Oryctolagus cuniculus: one gene and its partner. The protein of the gene in region 2 interacts with the protein of the main gene of each other region in a biochemical or structural test. Links are inferred from orthologs where the notes say so. Each region holds a gene or a part of one and is shown on either strand. Other genes may lie near its edges. The genes, in order: TOLLIP and TOM1.

Evidence for each region.
Region 1: the proteins of TOM1 (region 2) and TOLLIP form a complex in vitro, tested with the Homo sapiens proteins (3 studies listed by BioGRID and IntAct, with this or other methods). The link is inferred for Oryctolagus cuniculus from reciprocal best matches to the Homo sapiens genes TOM1 and TOLLIP.

What each region holds. Positions count from the first base shown.
Region 1 is NC_091432.1:2,058,671-2,070,219, reverse strand, and holds part of TOLLIP (toll-interacting protein), read right to left. Parts: exon of another isoform or gene 8,861-11,549; intron 7,842-8,860; coding exon 7,692-7,841; intron 4,699-7,691; coding exon 4,516-4,698; intron 3,727-4,515; coding exon 3,574-3,726; intron 1-3,573. UniProt on the Homo sapiens protein: Component of the signaling pathway of IL-1 and Toll-like receptors. Inhibits cell activation by microbial products. Recruits IRAK1 to the IL-1 receptor complex. Inhibits IRAK1 phosphorylation and kinase activity.
Region 2 is NC_091442.1:112,890,169-112,902,339, reverse strand, and holds the start of TOM1 (target of Myb1 membrane trafficking protein), read right to left. Parts: upstream 5,995-12,171; 5' UTR 5,888-5,994; coding exon 5,836-5,887; intron 1-5,835. Other genes in the region: HMGXB4 (HMG domain-containing protein 4), read right to left, coding at 10,291-10,401, 10,530-10,652.

The DNA of each region.
Region 1 (11,549 bases), on a different chromosome or scaffold from region 2:
ACAGCGCCCCAGCAGAGGCGCAGGCTTTAGTGAGCACAGCTGAAGCGCGGGAGGTCCCTCGGCTAACTGCGGCACCGCCCTGCGTGCGTATGGACCACGGACGCGCAAGCCCCGACACCAGCACTGCTGTAGCGCCGTGTCCGTGACGCTGGCGTCTGTGGCTCGTCTGTAGCGCCGTGGCGTTCGCCACGGGGAGGCCTGAGTGAGAAGCCTGCTGCACTCCAGCTCCGACTCCGGCTTCCCAGTGCAGAACCGGGGAGGCAGCAGACGACGGCTCACGGTTCACGCGCTCGGGCTCCTGCCACTCCTGTGGGAGACGCAGGCGGAGCTCCTGGGTCTCGGCTGCGGTCTGGCTCAGCCCAAACTCCACACTTCATTGAGCTTATTGATCACGACTTCTCACGTGTGACAGGAACAAGCCCCAGCCAGCAACACCATTGGAAACAAAGACACCCAGCGAGGACTACCTGCCAGCGCCCTCACTGTGCACGCCAGCGAGCCTGGCGTGGAGACGGATCACGTTCCACTAATGAGCTGTCTGGACGCCCGAGAGGGCGCCGGTTTAGTCTCCTGAGGTCTATTTTGAGTTTTCACCCTTGGGCAGGGCGGTGACCCTGAGGTCCCAGCGTGCTAGCTGCGCTCAGCACACGGCAGGTCTGACCCGACTTCCAGGAGCCCCTGGCTGGGGAGGAGAAGGGGAGAAGGAAGGCACGGACAGACGCTCGCCCGGGGCCTGGCGGGAGGCCCCTGCGAGGGAGCCCCCAGGCAGCGGGGCAAGGACGGGGTCAGCGCTGGGAGGCCCAGCTCTGGACGCGCCCGCCGCAGGCTCAGACACAGAAGCGGCGCTGAATCAGCACAGGAGTCTAAGAGTGCGGCGCCTCCGGAGGGGACGAAGTCTCCACGCAGGACAGCAGGTCCAGCACCAAGCACGCCGAGAAGCCGCCCACACCACTCCCCAGGAGACAACGCAGACTCGCGGGCCGCCTGGTCCTCCCAGAGGAGAAGCCAAGGCTGTATCGGGAGAGGCTCCGGGAGCCGTAGACGGGTCTCCCACGAGGAGAGGAAGGGAGGGACTGCCCCACCAGCTGCCGCGCACCTGCCACGCACTGCCACGGCAGATGTCCACATGCACATACACACACACACACGCGCACACACGTCGCTGCCATGGCAGGTGTCTACACACACACACACACACACACGCACACACGTCGCTGCCATGGCAGGTGTCTACACACGCACACACAAACGTCGCTGTTGTGGCAGGTGTCTACACGCACACACACACACGTCGCTGTCGCGGCAGGTGTCTACACACACGCACACACACACATGGCTGCCGCAGCAGGTGTCCACACACACACGCGCGTCGCTGCTGCCTTTTCTGCAGTAGATGGGGACGTGAGGACACCACTGTGCTGGGGTCCCTGGGACTCAGACACCATCACTCTCACGGCTGTGGTTTACAGCAAGAGTGACAAACACACCCAGAGGAGGGGAGGGCTGGGGGCAGAGCCCTGGGGACCAGGCAGCAGGTTCCCCGAGGGCCCCTCCCACACGGCCACATGGCCACGGCAGCACACATGAATGCTGCCTGCCAGGGGCCTGGTTCAGGACGCTGTACCCACAGCTCAAACGTCACAGCCAGGGGCCTGGTTCAGGACCCTGTACCCACAGCTCAAACGTCACAGCCAGGGGCCTGGTTCAGGACCCTGTACCCACAGCTCAAACGTCACAGCCAGTCAGGGTTGGGCCAGCAGACAGAGGACCCCTCTCTTCCTCTCCATAACTCATAACTCTGCCTTTCAAATCAATCTTTGAACAAAAAAAAAAAAAAAAAAAAAAAAAAAGCCCTGAGTGCTACAAGGAGGTGGCAGGACCCAGGACCCGAGGAGCCCAGCAGCCGCAGCTACCTCAAGAACGGGGCGGGGGGAGGCCGGCGCCGCGGCTCACTAGGCTAATCCTCCGCCTGCGGCGCCGGCACACCGGGTTCTAGTCCCGGTCGGGGCGCCGGATTCTGTCCCGGTTGCCCCTCTTCCAGGCCAGCTCTCTGCTGTGGCCCGGGAGTGCAGTGGAGGATGGCCCAAGTGCTTGGGCCCTGCACCCCATGGGAGACCAGGAGAAGCACCTGGCTCCTGGCATCGGATCAGCGCGGTGGCCATTGGAGGGTGAACCAACGGCAAAGGAAGACCTTTCTCTCTGTCTCTCTCTCTCTCACTGTCCACTCTGTCAAAAAAAAAAAAAAAAAAAAAAGAACGGGGCGGGGGGGCCCAAGGCACCGGGCCCCGCCCAGCACAGCCAGGGCGGCCTCCTCACTTCACCGCCCGTCACTGCCTGATGGGAAAAGCAGACCTGACCACGCGGCAGCCCCAGGACCATCCATCCCTCTGCCCGCGTCTCAGGCCCTGGGGGACCCTGACACCAACAGCAGGGCCCGAGACAAGACACGCTGCCTGCCCAGGATCGACACAGGGCGCTGCCTGTCCAGGCTGCAGGGGCAGGGAGGGGCAGCGCCCACAGCCAGCCCAGGGCCTGCGTCCTCCCCTGCTGCTGCGCTCTGCTGGCCTCTGGTCTTTGTCCTCAGGAATAACGGCTGCCCTGGAGCCACCGCAGGGATCCCGCCCCCTGGCCTCGGCACCACCCAGAGGGTCCGAGAGTGTGAGCAGGCCACCCCGAGCAGACTCCAGCCCTACGCAGGACGTGACCCCGTGACCCGGGCCTCACCGTGCAGGACGTGACCCCATGACCCGGGCCTCACCATGTAAGATGTGACCCCGTGACCCGGGCCTCACCGTGCAGGATGTGACCCCGTGACCCCTCCCTCCCCGTGCAGGATGTGACCCTGCTGACCCGGGCCTCACCATGTAAGACGTGACCCCGTGACCCCTCCCTCCCCGTGCAGGACGTGACCCCGTGACCCCTCCCTCCCGGTGCAGGACATGACCCCGTGACCCGGGCCTCACCATGTAAGACATGACCCCGTGACCCGGGCCTCACCGTGCAGGATGTGACCCCGTGACCCCTCCCTCCCCGTGCAGGATGTGACCCTGCTGACCCGGGCCTCACCATGTAAGACGTGACCCCGTGACCCCTCCCTCCCCGTGCAGGACGTGACCCCGTGACCCGGCCTCACCGTGCAGGACGTGACCCCATGACCCCTCCCTCCCCGTGCAGGACGTGACCCCGTGACCCGGCCTCCCCGTGCAGGACGTGACCCTGTGACCCCTCCCTCCCCGTGCAGGACGTGACCCTGTGACCCGGGCCTCACCATGTAAGACGTGACCCCGTGACCCGGGCCTTCCCGTGCAGGACGTGACCCCGTGACCCCTCCCTCCCCGTGCAGGACGTGACCCCGTGACCCCTCCCTCCCTGTGCAGGACGTGACCCCGTGACCCCTCCCTCCCCGTGCAGGACATGACCCTGCTGACCCGGGCCTCACCATGTAAGACGTGACCCCGTGACCCGGGCCTCCCCGTGCAGGACGTGACCCCGTGACCCCTCCCTCCCCGTGCAGGACGTGACCCCGTGACCCGGCCTCCCTGTGCAGGACGTGACCCCGTGACCCAGCCTCACCGTGTAGGACATGACCAGGTTGATCATGCCCTCCTTATCGTCGCCCTGCCGCCCGCTCAGGCTGTACCACTCGTCCTCCACCTTGCCCTGCTTCAGGGACTCGGGGATGGTGATGTGCGTCCAGGCGATGCGGTCGTCCATGGAGAAGGCTCGCTGAGGACGACAGGAGGGAGGTCAGCTCCCGGGGGCCCACAGGCCTCGTGTCCCAGAAACACGGCTGTCAGCCCGCCGCCTCCCCAGCAGCACGCCTCAGGACCACCGGCAAACGGTCCTGGGCTCCCCTCCCAGGACAGGAAGAGGGGGCAGGGCCAGGCTTGAGGACGGGGACAGACTCCCTCTGGGCTGCAGTCCATCTGCCCTAGCCCAGCGACGCCTGCTGCCCCTCCTCTGCCCTCCAGCTGGCCCTGTTCCCCTGGCTGCCACCCACGAGCCCTGATGTCCCGGGAGGGGACGCTGCTGTGACGTCCCCACAGCCTGCCAGGCTCCCCACATGCTCCCTGTCTTCCCAGGGGCCACTGGAGGGAAAGCCAGGGGGTCGGGCAGGGGCAAGAGGCAGAGCCAGCTGCACACGCCCTCCCCTCTGCTGTCCTTGAGCCCGGCTCCACCAGGGCCCCCCACATCCCACCTGAGGCACACGTGCATAGACACGGCTCAGGGACACTCAGGAGGCGCTCCTGGCCACGCGTGTGACTCCCTAGAGGTGCAGCTCGCCCACACGGCCAGCTACCTCGCTGAGCCCAGGGACGGGACAGGTCCACTCTGCCCAGTGTCCAGTGTGTCTCACTGGTGACTGTTTCCAAACGCTGTCAAGGAGCTGAGAAGGGTGCTTCTTTTCCAGAGGCAGTGGGACAGCGTGCAGGTGTGCGCGCCTGTCGACAGCACGCGGCCGAGGCGCCCGCACGGCACAGTGTTGCCCCCGGCACAGCCGGGCATCCCGCTCACCTCGTCGAAGATCTCCAGGTAGAAAGAGTCCACCCCCGGGGGCACCGTGCACTGGATGACCTTGTTCCAGCGTGGGTTCTTGGCACCGTTGTGGGCCGTGGGTGTCTCATACACGGCATAGCCCAGGCGCAGCCGGCAGTACGGGTCCATGCGGGTCATGCCGTAATTCTTCGCCAGCTTTGCCTGAAATCAAGTTCAGAAAAACGAGGCCCCGAGCGTCAGGGCAGAAGCCGGACGCTCACCCAAACTGTGCCTTCTGGAACCCTCCCACCGGCCTGCCCCAGGGGTGCGGGTTACAGCCATTCTGACTCACCCGGACACAGCCGGACCTCATCCTCCAGGGCACCAGAGCCAGGAGGCAGAGCCTCCGAGGAGGGCTGCTCGGCCTCCCCCCGCTGGCTGGGGGCACCGCTGACACGGTGCAGAGCGACAGGCTCCAGGGGCCACAGGCCGGGCCTCAGGACACCTGCTCCGGAGCGCTTCAGAGACGGCAGCCCCCAGCCTCTCCCCTCCCCGGGGGGTGGGCCGCAGGGGCAGGGGCTGAAGCACGCGAGCACACCTCCCAGAGCGCAGGCCCTGCTGTCGGGCAGGAGGAGGCTGGCTGGGCCCAGATGCGCGACGGCGCTGGGCTGGTGACTGCACCAGCGAGACGCGCGGCTCCGGCAGCTAAGACTGCTGGTGAAGCGGCTACAGAGGTCTGGGCAGAAACCTCCACGAGAAAACACTGTGACCTTGGTCAGGACAGGCAGCAAAAGCAGAGACCACGGCGAGGACCCTGACAAACCACACTCCCACCGGAACTCAGAGGCTGCTCAGAGCGGCCGCGCAGGACACGAAGGGACCACAGACGGGAGAAGTGCTTTGCAAAGTCTCCCGTGATGCAGGGCTGGCAGCCAGGACATCGAAGGACGCTCAGGTCTCAGTAACGGGGAGAGCACCCAGCGAAAACAGGCCAAGACTGGAGGAAATATCGGTCACCAACAGGCAAAGATGCTGAGCACCCCCATCAGGGAAGTGCAAACCACACTCCAGTGAGACCACACACCAGACAGACAGCTCCCCCAATCCAGCCGGAGCCCAGCCCCAGCCCCGGCCGGCTCAGCACCCCGTGGTAAAGCACAGCGGCACCGTCACTGGAAGCTGGGGGGCGGCTCCCACGGCAGGCCCCAGGCCCCAGGCCGAGGAAGGCAGCCGACATTCAGACAGCCCCGCGCAGCTGTGATGCCTCCTTGAAACTCCACAAAGACCAGGCCACCCACGGCACCCACCAGGGCCCGGCAGGCCCAGGGCGCCAGCTGCTGACGCAGGGACTCTGAAGGGCGGGCAGAGTCCTCCGTCCTCAGCACAGGGAGGGGCCTGTGACGCGTCAGGACTCAGGGACACGCGGTGGTGCCTGCAGGCAGAGACCCCGCTGCCGGCACCGCCCTGTCCAGCTGCCCGCCTTCCTCAGACTCCAGCAGAGGCCTCTGCCCTGCACGGACCCCACGGCCTCCCCGCACCCTTCCACTCGGGCCTGCTCACAGAAGGGCCTTCCAGGACGTCACAGGGTGAGCGAGCCCGGCCTGCCGTGGTCAGGACGGAGGCCATCCTCACCCAGCCCCCACAGCCACGCCTGCCCAGTCCTACCTGGGAGTCTGCTCTCAGCCCCGCGCTGCCAGCCCTGGCCTCCCTAACCTGTCCACCTGCTCCCCTACACCTGCTTCTGGTCCACATGACTCCACCCTCCAGGGCCAGTGACAGACATCTACCGCAGCTGACTTCCCCCAGCCCTGCGGAGTCTCCCTGCCGGCGCGTGCGAAGAACATGCGGGGAGCAACCAGCCCCAGCCTTGTTCTAGCAGCTGAGCACAGAGGCAGCGGAGCTGCGGCCTGCACTGAGACACGGCACGGGGGCTCAGAGTGGGCATGGGGGGCTCAGAGTGGGCATGGGGGGCTCAGACAGGGCATGGGGTTGGGGGCAGATGAAGGGGCCTGGGCTGCGGCCTGTGCTGAGACAGGGCACGGGTTGGGGGCAGATGAAGGGGCCCGGGCTGCGGCCTGTGCTGAGACAGGGCATGGGGTTGGGGGCAGATGAAGGGGCCCGGGCTGCGGCCTGTGCTGAGACAGGGTGGCGAGGAGGAGACGACACACGGCCACCTGGCTGCATGCGTCTGAAAGGCTGACCAGACACCAGGGAGGGCGTGAGTGCCGTGCTCTGCAGGAGTCCCAGCCGCACGGGGTGGCGCCAGGGGCCAGGTCTGCACACGCTCACAGGCCCTGGGGCACGAGAAGGGCACAGACTTGACCTGCTCTCAGGGCAGCCGTGGGGCTCGGAGACCTCCAGGGGAGGCAGCCAGGAGACGTGTAGCCGCCTGGACAGAAGAAGGGTTCCCAAAAAGGAAGGGAAACGCTGGGGAAGCGACCAGGAGGCCTCTTCAGGAACCAGGGCCTGGCACCGCCATAGCACACAGGCAGCCTGTGGTGAGCTCGAGGGAGCGGGCACCGCGGAGGCCCCTGCGAGCCCGGCCAGGCACTCGGACCCGAGCACCTGCAGTTGCAGCACCCCACCAGGAGGTGGCAGCCCAGGGCTCCAGTGAGCAGCAAGTTCCAGGCCAGCACGCGGGAGTCCCCTGATGATGGCCCCCTAAGCCCCCTGCACCCGCGAGGCCCTGCACGTCTGCTCGGCTTCACAGGGCGCTTGGTGTGAGCGAGCCACGTTCAGTGTTGCAGTCCACCTGCAGCCCGTGGGCCTGCGCAGGTCAGGGACTGAGGTGACCAGTCTTCACGGTGCCCCCAGCACACAGTGGCCCTTGGCCTCCGCAGCTCCGGCAGCCTGCACGCCTTGTAAGCAGGGCATTTAAACGCCCCACTGTGCGCCGACTGCCAAGCTGCCTTCGTTTTAATAGGACTTAGCTCGGCGGCAACGGCGATACCGCTGGACACAACAGTGACGACACTGCTGTCTCAGCTGGCCGAGGGAGCACTGGGCTGCTCTGAGCCCCCCACCCCCGGCTGCCCCGTGGAAGAACAGGGTCTGGCACAGGGCCGACGTCCAGCAACCGTTATCACCCAACTCTCGAGTTATTTTTGGCAGAATCCCGGAATCGGTCGTCACTCAGCATCATATGTGAGTGTCGGCACACCCAGATGCAAGGTGCCCTTTGTCCAGCAGGAATCCCCCCCACCGCCAGTGCCCACCTGCACCACGGTGACGCTGAGGCGGCCCACGGTGCCCACCGCCCCTCCGTACTGCAGCTGCTGCGCGGCCTGGGCGTCCAGCTGGATCTGCTGCTGCTGCTGCGTGGGCGTGATGCGGAGGAAGTCCTGCGGGAGCTCCCCGATGTACACCTGCCGGGGCGAGGGCGGGAGACGGCGTCAGATGCCGGGAGCCCGGTGCAAACTGCAGCCTCTGGGCTCCACCCAGGGCCCAGTCTGCGCCCCCACCCCCACCCATTTCCTCTCCAAGCCCCACACGGTGCTCAGCCCTTCCAGCGCCTGCACCCTGACCATCAGCAAAGGGCCGTCGTCCCTCCGCCCGGAGAGCTTCTGCCGCCTCTGCCACTGAACACAGGCTCCGCTCCCCCAGGCAGGCCTGGCAGGCTGCCGCCCACACGCTTCCCTTCCGCGTGTCCACACTGAAGCCAAGGTCAGTGAACGCGCGGCACGGTCAGACAGGAGCGAGAGGAGATCTGATCTTTGGCCAAGGTCATCTGCGAGCCCCGTGCGCTGGCGCGCAGCCACGCCTACACCTGAGACAGTCCAGATGCAGAACTGTCCCAGGAGAAGACAAGAAGTAAACAGACCCAGACAAAGCCCTGTGGACATCTGACCTCCTTCTCAGGGGTCCTGCGGCTAGGTGGGCCCCGCCCAGCACCCCCACCATGAGCAGGGAGAGGGCGGGACACAGAGGAGCTACTGGGGCAGGAGAAAGACACCCCAGGGAATGAATTCCAGAGAAACTCGAAGGACCCCAAACACTCAGGAGTAGACTTTAGCGAGGATTAGCAGGGACGCCTGCAAGTGACCCCAGGAGCGGTTCACACAGGAGAGAAGCAAAGGAGATGGTGCAGGAGCCGCCGGGGCCACACTGCAGGGACTCGCGGCAAAGCAATGGCGGCCAGAAACGACCCAAGTGTCTGGGGTCCCCGGCAGGAGGGCTGAGGGCAGGGGTCCGTTGGGGTCCTCAAGATGGCCACACTGCCTGAGGAGCCTGCATGGGCTTCAGCAGGCGGGCGCGGTGAACAGTGGGAAGACCGCCCCTCCGTGACACAGGTCACGGCCTCTGGGCCAAGAAACTACCATGGAGGGAGGGGCTGTGCTCAGGGCACTGGCTGCTGCTGACCCGTGAGCCCCAGAGCCGAGGGGCCTGCCGGGAAGTAAGTGGCGTGTGTCACGGCCAGACGGAGGCCAGGAGCATGCGGTACACCCAGGGGCTCTGCAGAACCCCACTGCCTCTGCCCCACAGACCAGACCCTGAGCCTGCCTGGACCATGGTCTCCCCAAGACTCCAGGCAGGGTTCCAGAAGGTTCTTCAGTCTGGTGGGCTCCATATTGTGTGCTCAGAACACTACCAGCTGGGCCCAGCACTGTGGCACAGCGGATTAACGCCCTGGCCTGAAGCACCGGCATCCCATATGGGCACTGGTTCGAGTCCCAGCTGCTCCTCTTCCGATCAGCTCTCTGCTAATGTAACTGGGAAAGCAGTAGAGGATGACCCAAGTCCTTGGGCCCCTGCACCCGCGTGGGAGACCTGACTCCTGGCTTCGGATCGGTGCAGCTCCAGCCGTTGCAGCAGAACCATCAGATAGAAGACCTCTCTCTCTCTCTCTCTCTCTCTCTCTGCCTCTCCTCTCTCTGTGTAACTCTTTCAAATAAATAAATCAATCTTTTAAAAAAAAAAAAAAGCACTACCAGAAAGCACGCCTCCCCCAGGGCACTGGGTGTCACTTCAGGAGCCCCTGAGAGTCTGTCTCTTCGCCTGGTGTCCCAGCTCAGGCCTGGGGAGCACAGCCCAGGCCGAGTTGCAGACCTAACAGACACAGGAGGAGACGCCGGCTCCCAGAGCACTGAGCAGTTCCAGCAGAGGTGGGCAGCGTGTGACCCACAGGCTGTCAAGGCCGGTGCCTTCTTTGGCTCTGGCCTCGCCAAGGACACTGCAGGCTGAACTCCAGATTCAGCCCACCTACAGCAGACCAGCCTTTAAACTGATCTTGGCCGGGGCCGCGGCTCACTAGGCTAATCCTCCGCCTGCGGTGCCGGTACACCGGGTTCTAGTCCCGGTCGGGGCGCTGGATTCTGTCCCGGTTGCCCCTCTTCCAGGCCAGCTCTCTGCTGTGGCCAGGGACTGCAGTGGAGGATGGCCCAGGTGCTTGGGCCCTGCACCCCATGGGAGACCAGGATAAGTACCTGGCTCCTGCCATTGGACCAGCGCGGTACACCGGCCGCAGCGCGGCGGCCATTGGAGGGTGAACCAACAGCAAAGGAAGACCTTTCTCTCTGTCTCTCTCTCTCTCACTGTCCACTCTGCCTGTCCAAAAAAAAAAAAAAAACAAAACTGATCTTGTGTGGTTTGGCAGAAAGAAGTGGCTCCCCAGCCCTGGCTACAGGCTCCCGGACCACGGCTGCACAGCCGGCTTGCACCCCGCTGTCATCGTCTGAGTGCTCTCGGCAGCTCCGGCCTACACAAGCTCCTAGGAACTCCGCAGCTGGCTCTCCTGAGATGGTGCCACGTGGCCAGCTGTCCTGGGCAAAGCCGTGAGAAGGGGTCCATGGAATGACCGTGATGGAGACGTCTTCCCGCGGGCACCTGGCCCTGCCTTCACACCTGACAGCCTGCGCCATCTGTCTCCACTCAACGTAAACAGAGTATCTCGCAGAGACGACCCAATGTCAACCGGGCTCTCGGCATTAACGCACAAAAGCCCAGCTCCCACGGCCTCACCTGAGACCCTGAGACTGCAGCAGGGGCCCGCGGGGGGCCAGGCAGGCCAGCGCAAGCCCTGAAGAGCAGGCTCCGGAGAGGCGACAGCCCGTCCCGCCTGTCCCCTTCGGGGTGGAATTCTGGGTGGCGCTTCCCCTGTCATCACACCCTCCCCCGGGCCCCCACTGAAGACTGGGAATATAAAATTACTCGGAAAGGTCCAAAGACCTAGTGTTTTTTCCAAGAAGAATTTAACCATAAACTACAAGTATCAAGTGAGGGAGTCTAACAATGCGAACAGTGAACCCCGTGCGAAGGGGAGGGGCTCTCTGGGAGGAGACAGCTGGCCGCCGGCAGCACCACGGCCAGCGCCATGGGGAGCGGACACAGCGAGGCAGCCCCCTGAGGTGAGGGGGCGCGGGGAGAACCTCTCACCTCTGCAGCCTTCTTCCCAAACCCCATCCCCCACACTGGGGCATCCTACAAAATCCCTCACGACCCCCAAACTGCCCTGGCCCTGACAGCAAGGGACAGTGAGAGGCAGAGACAGACCCAGAGGGAAGAGATGAGCAAGGGACTTGGGACAGGAGGGCCACAGTGGGAACCCAAGCAGAATCTGGAGCCGATGCCCAGGACCGAGGCCAGCGGCCAAAGGCCCGTGCAGCCGGGAGAGGGTGGGGTGGGGGTGGGCACACTGCGTCCTGAGCTCCGCGAACATAAAATCAATCCCAAATGGCACATTTCTACCACAGACTTCAATTCAGCTGCGAGGGAGAGGAGACAGCGGGCCCGACGTTCCCGACCTGCCGGGGAAAGCCGGCTCTGCCTCCACAGCTGTGGCCACCAGCACCGGGAGGCACGCCTGGCACGACCGGCAGGACACGCGCCCCTCAGCTCAGTGACCAGGTGGGAGGCACAGCAACAAACACAATTCTGATGTCTTTCTAAACTCAATGCTAACGCCAAAGTTCACTTTTCCACATTACGATGAGAACGTGTGTAAACGGGCACGTGGGACTTGTGATTCTGGCTTGATTCAGGCTCAAGGACTTTGCGATATTAAAAAAGATTAATTCTGATAACAGATACTTGTGGAGTTTTAAAACAGCCTTGCTTGAGTGAACAGGATGAACAGA
Region 2 (12,171 bases):
TCATCCTCCACAAAAATATCAACCATGAAAGGCCTGCTCAGAAATTCCAGTGGTTAAGATGTCAGCTAAGATAGGCACGACCACATGGCAGGGCCTGGGTTCCGGTCCCGGCTTCCCTCCTCGGACTAGCTCCTTGCCAGCTGCACCCGGGGAGGCGCCTGCCGCCTACGCGAGAGACCTGGGTAGGGCTCCCAGCCTCCTGGCTTCTGCTTCAGCCCAGCCCTGCCCTGGCCAGTCTGAGTACGGGAGAGGGAACCAGCAGACAGGAACTCTCTCTCAACCTGTCAGTTTCTGTCTCTTTCTTTGAGTCTCAAAATAAATAGCTAGAAACTTGGAACAATCGTTAGGCTCTACACCGGAAGCGGCAGCCAGCGGCTTGTCTTGACGCCTGTTTGCCGAGTGCACAACTCTTCCCAGCCCTGGCATGGGAAGTGCCAGCAGCTTCCCAAGCAGCGGAGCCGCCCTTCCTTAAAGCCCTGGCTGCTCTCCCCTGTCATTTTTAACCACAGGCCACAAGCGCAGCCCTAAAATACCTTAGGGAGGGCATTACTTCTGCAACCCACGACTTGAAAGTGATGGAGGAAACTCTGGCCCCTCGCTGAAGACCCCGTGAGTGGGGTGCGGGAGGGCTGCCCCGCCCCGCCCCGCCCCGCCCAGTGAGAGGCAGCAGGGCTCTGAAGTCAGAGGTGTAGATGGCATTTTTCAAATAATTTGTATTTATGTGAAAGGCAGAGAGAGAGAGAGAGAGAGAGCGAGCGAGCGAGCGAGCGAGAGCTCTTCCATCTACCAGTTCACCCCGCAAATGCTCCAACAGCTGGGGCTGGGCTGGCCCAAAGCCAGAAGCCTGGAAAACACCCGGGTCTCCCAGCCGCCTCCCAGGGTGCATTAGCAGAAAGCTGGAGTCGGGGGAGCCGGGATTGGAAGCCAGGCGCTCTGATAGGGGACGCAGGTGTCCCAAGCAGCAACTTAGCCACTGTGCCAAATGCCTGCCCCTACCACGATGTCCTCCCACTTGTGAGTATGAAAGATATTACTGACAAGCTAGCAGCGGCGAGGGAGAGGGACTTCTCTCAGTCAGAGTTCCCCAGAGAAACAGGACCAAAAGAAAAGAGCGAGAGCGAGAGCGAGCGAGCATGCGATGGAGGTTTATTTTAAGGATTGGCTCAGGAGACTGTAGAGGCCTGGCAAGTACAAAGCCCATAGGGCAGGCTGGCTACGGCTCCAGCCGTTCAAGGACAGCGACTTCTTGGGAGGCTGGTCTTTTTCTAGTCAGGTCTTCAACTGCTTGGGTGAGGCCCACCCACACTGCTTTGCTGGAGTCGACTGATTTAAATCAGAGACATTCAGCACGCTGCTTGACCAAATACTTGGGGACTGCGGCCCAGTCCAGCGGCCACTCAGCTAACCGCCGCAGGGTTTACCCTGCACTCGCACAAACAAGCCCGAATCAAACTGCGAGCGCCTCTGTCTAAATTCTCCGTGACTCTAGGCCACGCAGTCTGGCTGCTTCCTCCCTCCGCTGGCCCTTCCCTTCCTCTCTCCATGGGAGCAGAGCCCAGGCCCCTCCTCAGGGCTTTCACCCCGACCCCAGAGGGGGGGTACCCAGCAAGGAGGGATGCAGCCGGCACCTGAACCCGCGCCCAGGCTAAGTTCCAAGCTGCTTGCATCCAAGAGATCCAAATGGGCCACCAGGAGCTGCTAGGGGACTGACTCACAGGCAGAGTTCCGTCTGTATCTTCACGCGCAGCCGGAGCAAAGCCCGAAGCAGCCCACGGAAGCCGTGATTCCTCAGCTCGCGTTATACACGGTGGGCCAGCTTACAGCAGGTGAGCCGGCTGGATACAAACACCACGGGACAGCGGCGAAGGTGGCAGGAGGGGGGCGGGGCGGGCGCCCACACCACGGAGGCCTTCCGAGAGCACCCGCCCCATCGGACCTCCCTGGCAAGGACAGAAAGAGTTAACTTGTCCTGACTCCTGCCCCAAGCCAGTGAGAAGACAACAGAGGGGTTTTGTATTTTTTTTTTTTCCTAAAACCAAGAGACTGGAATTCCGGGACTTGACTCTTATTTCTTTGAGCTCATTGAAGGAACAAAACCTATTCAGGATCCTGATCCAAAGGCCCTAATCCCCAAGTGACACCGGGCTCCCCCCGGCCTGAAACCTGACCTGTGACTGCTCCCTCGCCAGGGACACAGACTCACACAGAGGCTGCCCGGCACTCAGTGCCCTGGCCTGGCACCTTAGCTCGGCCGCTACCCGCTCATGCAGTGGCCCCGAGAGGACACCTTCCCCCCCATGGCGGGCCCTGGGCCAGGCGCCCACACCGCAGCAGCCCCGCAACCCACCAGAGGGGGCGCTGCTATTAGCCTCTGTCAGGTGAGGCGCCTGGAGACCAGAGGTTGAGCTGCCTGCTCCTGGGGCCCAAGTGGGTGAGGACCCCGTGGTCCTCCTCGCGCTGGCCCCGGGCCTTCCTGCTGGGCACACGGCCGACGCGAAGCCCTCTGTCCACACAACCCCCTCACCCTCGAGATGGACACCTGGGCACCCATCTGGCTCCTGCACTCGCTCCCCAGGGCCCTGGGCCCCTCTCTGAGGCACACGGCCTCCGCCCCGCCTCCGCCCCGCTCTGACCCCGCAGCGCCCACCCGACGAGCCCACGTGCCCGATTCAGCCTGTTTCTGGAGGTCTGCGGCCTGGGGATGGTCTTCACGCTGTCAGAGGCTTGGGACAAAAGTCAAATGTGGAAATCACGCGAAATTCAAATCTCAGGGCCCGCCTAAGTGCAGCTCTGGGGGCGCAGAGCCACACCCATCCGCCCGGCTCTGCGCTACCAGGGCAGAGCTGGGTGCGAGGAGTCTGATCCGGGCCAGTGCGGGGGTCCCCTTCATGGCCTCCCCCTCCGGCCGCTGCCTTCCCACTGCTGTCAGGGAGCTCACTACTCAGGCGGCGTCTTCCTCAGCCGCCCCGGCTCTTCCTCCCGCCACATCTGCGCTCCCGGAGCCTGGTGCAGTCACCTCTCTCCTCCCTGCTGTCGGATCCCTCCCGGCCATCGCGGCCTTCTTCCCCACCCAGGGGGACTGGGGCGCCCCCTGTCTTGGATAGGAGATGGGGGGAGAGGCAGTGTGACCCAGGAGCAGCCTGGTGACCCTGCCACGACCATGCGTGAGGGTCCACGTCAGCTTCCAGCCCATGGCTCCCACGCCGGCCCCCCAGGGCCCGAGGTGGTCTCCCAGGAGTCCTTTCTGTGGCTCCCCTGGCTGGGCCCCCGTGATCCGAGGACGGCTGTCCCTGCCTCTCCTCCCCGCCTCTTCCATCTCAGCGTTCAGTCAAGAGGTGCTGAGCTCTTGTCCGGGCACAGCCAGCCACCATCCCCACCCTCCATCTGCCGGGCAGCCCACACGGGCTGTCCCTGTGGTCTGCAGCTCACGTTCACCCATCCGCTGGGGCTCGGACTCAAAGCGCCAGACATGGCTGACTTCTGACATCTGTCCGTTAAACACAGCCCTGGAGAAGACCCGGCGAAGGTCTGAACTCCTGCAGAGCAGGGCTGTGGCCACAGCAGGGGCACAGAGGGCGTGGCCCCCAGCCGTGATCTTGGAGGGGTGGGGGGCTGCCCACCCCACAGGAGCACTGGGCACCCGGGGCAGCGTGCTGAGGGCGCCAAGGGAAGACCCTGAACAGTGGAGAGACCCCGGGTGCCCAGTGCTCTCTGCCTCAGGCTGACTTCCGGGGCAACGGGGAAAACAGTAAAACCTGCGGACAACACCCCGGGTGTCAGCACAGCGTCGGGGGCCCGGCCCTGGCTCAGAAACGCCAGCTTCCTCCCCCGCCAGGCCCCACGCTAGGGACTGAGCGTCCATACCCACGGCGCAGCTCCCGCTCTCTGGAAGTGCCGTTCGGTGGGCACGGGGAGACACACAGGCACGGCAGTGGCTCAGGGTGCTGATGGTGGAAACAAAAGTGACGAGGCTGATGACAGCAAGAGCGAACGTTTACTGCCAACAGCACTGTGCCAGGCACTCTGTGGGGACCAGCCTACAACATTCTCCAGGGGAGGAAGCCAGTGGCCCAGGGAGCTGGGCGCTTGGGAGAGCAAGAAAGCAACGGCGGGTCTGACAGGATCCGGGAGGGCTTCAGGGAGGAGGTGTCGATGCCCTGCACTTTGCAGGATGAGCCTGGCTTCCAGAAACACAAGTAGATCCTACCAGGTCATCCATCCTCACAGCTGATGAGCAGCACCCCGTCTCTTTCTAAAAGAGGCACATAGAACACAGAGGGCGTGACCTCGGTGGTGTGTGTCCATTTCACTGGGCTGGAGAGCCTCTGCAGTTTTGGGTGAAATTCTAGCGGCTCGTGGGGGGTCTCAGCTCTGCTATCATGGGGGGGGGGGCTACTCTCATGGGAAGGGAGGGAGCTGAGCTGGGCTAGAACTGAGTTTTCCAAGATGTGGCCTCCCGAATGCAGACCCTGGGGACCCTGGGGTGGGTTCCACCCGTGCCCTCCCAGGTCAGACACTCCCCGGTAGGGGCCCAGGAGTGAGACCGGAGCTGCTTGAGCTTTTCAGCTCCAAAACAATGACTCACGGTGGGGTGGGGCGTGCGTACTGGCCCTCTGAGCTGCGGGAAGCCAGGCGCTGGGCCTCTGAGACCACGCCCCCCACCCAGGCCCGTGTGCACCCCACACTGCCAGAACCCTTGCTTTGGAGAGAAACAAACAAATAAACAAAACCAAACCACTAGAGAGCCACAAAGGGCTGCGATGGCCATTCCAGCCTGGGCGGAGGAGACAGGAGCCGGCTTCCAAGACAGTGAGCACGGAAAACAATGTCTTATCTAAAAGATCCAATTTCCCCACTCCGGCCTGAAGGCTGAAAGCCATCAAAAGGACCAGCAGAGCCTCTCACAGCGCTTGGAGGCTTCCTCGGACAAGCCCCGGGGTCGGCCCCTGCCGGCTGCCCGGCGCCCCCCACCTGGCGGGGCTTGCTGTCATACAGCGCAGGCCTTGCGCCAGGCCGTGTTCTGGGTGCTGGTTCGCGAATCTCAACTTGGAGCCCACGGACACAGGCCTCAGTGCCCTCGTTACCGGCGAGGCGACCTCGGGCCGGCCGCTGCGTCACAGCGCGATAGATAAGGCTCCGGTCACCAGGGCTGTAAAGCAGCGGGAGTCCGGGCTCGGCGGCCCCAAAGCCCTGGCCGCGACGCGTGGCTTCCGAGGTCGCTTCGGCTCTCGGGTCCAGCTGGTGCTGGCCGGTGAGAGGAGCCGCGGCACACACCGCTGAGAGCTGGGTCTACGACCCCGGCCTGCAAGCGCTCGGGGCCCCGGGGGGAGTGGGGCGCCCGGTACCGCCTCCCGCAGGTCGCCCCCAGACGCCAAAGCCCGGGTCTACGCGGTCCTGGGAGCAGGGACGTCTAGCCCTTCTCAGGTGTCCGGGTCCAGAAGCCTGGCGGCGGGGACCCTGGCCGAGGAAGACGCGGTGGGAAACGCGGGGAAGATCGACGGCGACCCAACCACTGCACCACCACGCAGTCCCTTTAACCCCGAAAACTTTCTCCCTCGACCCGGGACCCCGGCAGCCGCACATTGGCTGAACCTCCGCCAGGACCCGCCCTCCCTAGTCATCTATTGGCTGCCGTAAGCATCCATCACAAGCCGAGGACTCCTAAAGGCCCACGTTCCCGTCAATCAGAGGTGGGCGGGAGAGTAGGCGGGGCCGGCTCGGGGGAGCGACACGCCAGCCTCCGGGAGTCGGTGACTGGAGACCTGAAGGCTCCCGGGGGACCGAGGCCGGGTGCGGCGCGCTGGGGCGGGGCCGTGCGGGGCTCCATGAGCTCACCGATGCGCTGTCCCACCGGAGAGCTGAACGGGTTCCCCAGGAGAAAGTCCATCGCCGCGGCAGCCGCTGCTACCAACCCGCGGAATCAGCTGACAGCAACCGCCAGCGCCGCCAATCTGTCACGTGACGCGCCGGACCGCCCGCGGGGCGGGGCCGTGGGGGCGGGGCCAAGGGAGCCGGCGCTCGGCTTCAGGCCCCGCCCCGACTCGCGAGAGGCCGACGCCCCGCGGCGGAGGGCGCTGACCTCGTGGCCTCTGACTCCGATCCGCCTGGCGCCTCGCTCTCCGGCGGGCCGGGGGCGGGGCTTGGAAGCCCGGGCCTTTAGGCCACGCCCCCGGCTGTCAATTAAGGTTTGGGGGCGTGGCCGGCAGGTCTGCACGTCGGGGACAGGACCTGGGTGTGGTTACATAGGTCAGGCGCTCAGTGTCGCTCCTGGCGTCTTAGCCCGTGGACCCTGGGACCTTGCGGCGACCGCACACGCACCCTGCGTGCCTGTTGCCTCCCTGCCCTGACTTCCCGTTTGATGTCGAGGCGTCCCTGCTCTTGTAGCCCCAATCCGCGGACCTCCAGGAGGAGTCCAGGGGCAGGGGTGTGTGTCCCCTGGAGACTGAGAGTCCAGGGCGTCGGCTGGCTACCGCCCAGCACGGCTGCGAGCTCACAGATGCAGTCGCGGGCAGGGCGCGTGGTACCCAGCTCTGCCGTTCATCTGTGAGATCCAAACAGCCAGCTGCATTTCCTCTGGGTCCTGGAATTAGATCAAGGACTTGGCACTTTTTTTTTTTTTTTTTTAGGTCACAGGCTCCTCTGGGAATTTGATGAAAGCCACAAGACTTTCTGAAGAAAAAAAGGCAGTGGGTTCAGTTTTGCTTGTAACCTCATTATTACTGGGGTCCCTGTAGCACAGGGTGGCCTCCAAGTTAGGAATCTCGAAGGCCTTGCCTAGCCTTGTGATCCAGTATCTTTTCGTGTCCCTGGCTGTGTACCACGTGCGAGACGCCACCTGCACCTTACAGACGCCGTCTGTGGATTCCCGACGCTGTCCTGGGCGCTTGGGCCACTGATCCTGATGCGATGCTTAAATCTGAACTTGGAAAACCGGTCAAATCTCCATCTAACCCAGGTCCATATGATGAAACGTGCACGTCAGGCTGGCTGGCTGGCGGCCTGGAGCCAGGGCAGTGACACGGACACTTTTACAGAGGGCACTCCGGAAGCCTGTCAGGCCGCTCACATGGCTTGTCCGGCATCGCTAACTGAGCCAGGGCAGTACTGCATAGCGTGGAATGGACCACAGCGTTCAGGTGCCACCCTTACACAGCACTCACATCTTTGTTTTATTTTGGGGGAGGACTGGTTTATTTATTTGAAAGGCAGAATTACAGAGAGACAGACACACAGCTCTCTCTCCAAATGGCCACAACAGCTGGAGCTGGGCAGATCCAAACCCAGGAGCTTCTTCCAAGTCTTCCACGTAGGTGCAGGGGGCCAAGCACTTGGGCCATCCTCTGTTGATTTCCGAGTGTATTAGCAGGGAGCTGGATTGGAATTACAGCAACCGCGTCTTGAACCGGTGCCCAGATGGGACGCTGGTGTTGCAGGTGTTGGCTTTACCCGCTGTGCCACAGCGCCGGCCCCAAGTGTCATCTTTATTCAGGCTAACACCACAACGTACAGTCTCACTTGCTGATAGAATTAAATACTAAATTCACTGGATTTGCAGTTTGCAAAAGATAATGAAAGTTTCTACAACAGAAAACCCATACAGAGAGGCTGGTGCGTTGGTCTAACAGGCTGAGCTGCCGCCTGCAACACCAGCATCCCCGTGGGCACTGGCTGGAGTCCCCGCTGCTCCACTGCCGACCCAGCTCCCTGGATGCACCTGGGAAAGCAGAGGAAGATGGCCCAAGTCCTTGGGCCCGGGAAGCTCCCGGTCCCTGGCCTCGGTCTGGCCCAGCCCTGGCTGTTGTGGCCAGCTGCGGAATGAACCAGCAGATGGAAGATCTCTGTGTCTCTCCCTCTCTCTCTGTAACTCTGCCTTTCAAATAAGCAAATACATATTTTTAAAAAAATCAATATAAAACAGAGTTAGGTGTTAGGAAAATGGCTGAGATTGGGAACTTGACCTCTGCTCTAGGTTTATTTATTTAAGAAAATTACAGTAGCATGAAATGTGAAAACTGGTTTTATAACTTTGTAGCAGACATGATTAACATGATTAGGAAAGATAGTCGAGACTGGACTACAAATATTAAAAATGTGGTTTTTAATAATATAAGTACAAAATCTTATTTCTTTATACAACCGTAATGGGATTTGGATCAAACCACTAGAATTTATTTAAAAAAACAAAATAAAACAATGATATAAAAACTGCAAGAAGGTCTGAATCCAAAGATTTTCCTCTAGTAGTACCAAATACCACAAGGTACAGATTATTATACAAATGTGTACAAATTTTAAATACAAATACAATAGGGCTGGGTTTCAAAGGAAAACAAACAAAAAGCAGGTCCTCCCCAGGATTTCATCAACGCACACAAAGGACAGCGGCAGGACTGGTTTCTTCCAGCCCCACTCCTTGCCCCATCACCTTGTGTCAAACAGGAACCTGACCCGGTACTGCGGCCCTGACACCTGCGCTCCAGCTGACTCTGTCCTTGATTTTGGTTCTTAAACATCCCTGTCTCTCTTTCTGCCTCCCGCATTGATTCACAATGTGCTGTGGGCGAGAGAGGAATTCAGCAGACAGAACACTCTCAAGAAGCACAGCCTGGCGAACCACTGTGGGGAGGAGGCGGCAGGCTGGCTGCACCGCACCGCAGGTTCACCTGGACGCCGCGGAACTCCCTCCAGGCCAGAGGGAAGCACGGTGACCTCCCGCTGGGTCTCGGAGGCAGTGCTCAGCTCTCTCTCAGCCACTAGGAAGCCCCAGCCTGGTCTTGGAGGGCAGGGCAGCTGGGCACGGTCACAGGCCTTTTTGTTCCACTTTCCTGACATTATTGGAGGCCATGAAGTTCTTCATAAAGAATCAGAATCCCCACATAATGATTCCTTTTTGAGGTACAATACCTTAAAATGTAGACGACTTGGGAGTTTTGGAACAGATCGGGGGAGGAAGAAAGGGAGAAAAGATAAATTTGTGTCTTCCACATGCTGTTGCTGGTGGAGGCTTTGTTATTAAATTATATATACAACACAGAAATTTACAGGATAAATTAAGGTCTAAGAGATTTTAAAGAGTTAAATACACATAATTAAAACACACATTCACACACGTATATAAATAAACCCACATGAGAAGACTTTTTTGCAGTTCACTTCCATGTGGAATGCAGAACAGACCGCATCTGCCCAAGAGCGGGACGAGTAAGAGGGGCCCAGGAATCACGCCGGGCAAGGTTTACCTTCCACAACTACTGGGCAGAGCAGACCTTGCAAGGACTTTGTGGCCAACCTACTGCTGCCAACGAGACACACCAGCTCTCAGCTGTGCACACCAGACACTCTGGGTCAGCTCAGAGCACGCGCAGGCTCAACTGGTGGCACCAGCAGCTTTGTCCTTTCTAAGGTAGTTTTTGCTGCCAGGGCTCAAATTCACTCTGCGGCCTCTGCTGAGGCCACCAATGGTACCAATGATTACAATAAGATTGGAGACATGGACGCCTGTATTGTAGGAACTGGAATGAACCCCTACTCAGTTCACCCAAGCCATCTTAAGAACTACAATGGGAATGGTTTTGTCACCTCCCACCTAGGTCACTTCAGGTTGAAAGGTTTTGTACTTTCAGTCAATTGGCCTCCTCCCATAATCTTTTCTATCACATTTCTAACTGTAAGACAGGTAAGGCAAATGGTCAGTGATGAGTCTGGAGGTGTAGCTGAGCTTGGAAAGAAAATTTTAGCTGTCCGTAAAGAGATGCACTTGGCACCCAGACAAGCCCCCAGCCCCCAGGTTACACTGATTTTTAAGGCAGATTTGTCCACCATAGGAGAAAAAAGAATCCCAAGCCCACATTCAAGCCAAAGTTTCCTCTTGGCTAAACCTTTGTCATTTCATCAAATTATTAAAAGCAACATAGTTACAGTCCTATGTATATATTGTACATTATATATATATGTGTGTATAGATATATAAAAATTTAAAACCTACACCCAGAGGCCAGCGGAGGGGTCTGGAACAGTTATATATACACAAACCAGCAAGGGGATAGGACAAGGTTTCTGTCCCAGGATGCTTTGCTGTCACAGTCCAGGCATGATGTAAGCAATGTTGTCTAGTGTGTTTGACTGCAAAACAAGGAAAAACGGTTCAGTTGGTCTTGGTTTCCTGAGACACGGTACTTTGTTCAGGGGAAGGAGATGAGAAGGAAGAGGTGGAGTTAGAGAAAACAGATGCGAATGAAGATGGCATCCTGTTGTCTGTTATGCTAGGAGCTTTTCTGCTGACTTCTCTCATTAATCCCAGTAACAAACAGCAGAAAATCCCTGCACTGTCTCTGGTAGAAGAGCAAACAGGAGCTGCAGGAGTTGCAGGACCCCAGGGCGAGACTGCTTCTCTTCAAAGCACTGCTTTGGGAAACAGCATGCATTTAATAAAACAGGATCGACACGGGTCCCTGGGGCTGACGGAGGAAGGAGGCACCCTGTGCCAAGGAGTCTGCCCTTCAAATCCAAGGAAAACAGGGAAAACTCACCAAGACCTGTTTGGGACAGCCATTCAGTTCAGGCAGTTGTGTGGTCAGACACGCCAAGGGGCCCAGCGCGCAGATGATGGAATCCAGAAGCACTGACAAGCTACCAGACACAGCCACCATGCCCTGGAAGGAGAGGAGGCTGACTCGAACCCAATGCTCGCTCTGTTCTGGTCGACCGCCTTACCTGGTTCTGTGACTCCTGCGCAGTTCTAATCCGGAAAGTTCCAGCACAAACGGAGGGTCTCTACTTAGACTACTCTACACTGTTCAAAAAGGAAACTTAGATGATACACTCCTTTGTGTTCCAATCTATCTTGCTTCCTACCTGTCTTTGAGGAAGTCACTAACTGCTCCTTCCTTAACACAACAGTGAAAAATGCCTGTGCCATTCCTACTGAAGGGGGCTGCTGCGAGGTCCCACGTGCAAACGTTCACCCGTGACGAACACCTGAGACAGGCAGAGCTCAAGTGTAACGGCTCTGAGAATTCCACAACCCTTCGCATCCAGATTTTTTTTTTTTTTTGATTTGAAAGGCAGAGTTACAGAGAGGCAGAGGCAGCAGAGAGATAGAGGTCTTCCATCCGCTAGTTCACTTCTGAAATGGCCGCCAACGGCTGGAGCCGGGCTGATACAAAGCCAGGAGCCTCCTCCAGCTTTCCCACATGGGTACAGGAGCCCAAGCACTTGGCCATCTTCCACTGCTGCCGCAGGCCACAGCAGAGAGCTGGGTTGGAAGCAGAGCAGCCGGGACCTAAACCGGCGCCCATGGGATGCCAGCCTGCAGGCAGCAGCCCCACCTGCTACACCACAGCGCCAGCCCTCGCATTCACATTAGTATAAACACACAAGGACTTTCCCACTATGTGGTTTTTGACAGCTGAAGACACCATTTTGCTGGGCTGAGGTTTTTACTCCCAAAAAGAAGAGAACTGGGTTCATTTAAAAAATTTAACCTCCTATGTAGTTCAAATTGTCTGTACATTTGTGATTAAAAGAGATGAGAGAAAGAAATCTGCATTCTGCACATAGCCCTGCCCAGCGCTTGCACAACCCGCTTTAACTACAGGCACTGCAAGGAGTCACCCTAGGAGGCAGCACAGCAGAGTCCTTAAAAGAATGAGCTCTGGGACTGGCACTGCAGCGCAGCATAAAGCCACCACCTGCGATGCCAGCATCCAGTATGGGCACCGGTTCGAGTCCCGGCTGCTCTACTTCTGATCCAGCTCCCTGCTTATGTGCCTGGGAAAATAGCAGAAGATAGCCCAAGTGCTTTGGCCTCTGTACTCACATGGGAGACCTGGATGAAGCTCCTAGCTCTTGGCTTTGGCCTGGCCCAGCCCTGGCTGTTGTGGCCATTTAGGGGGTGAGCCAGTGGATGGAAGATCTCTCTCTCTCTGCCTCCCTTCTCCGTAACTCTGATTTTCAAATAGATAAATCTTCAAAAAAAAAAAAAAAAAAATCACGCCTGGAGAGCCTGTCCAGGCCCAGCTCCTGGCGTCACTTAGTTTCTGCGCCTGGGAAAGCTGCTGATTCGGCTGCACCTGTGAAACAGCACTAGTAGCATCTGTAGCATGGGTAGGGCTGAGATAATCGTGTCTGGATGGTGTCGTGGTGACGCCTGTACTAACAACTTCGTCTCTT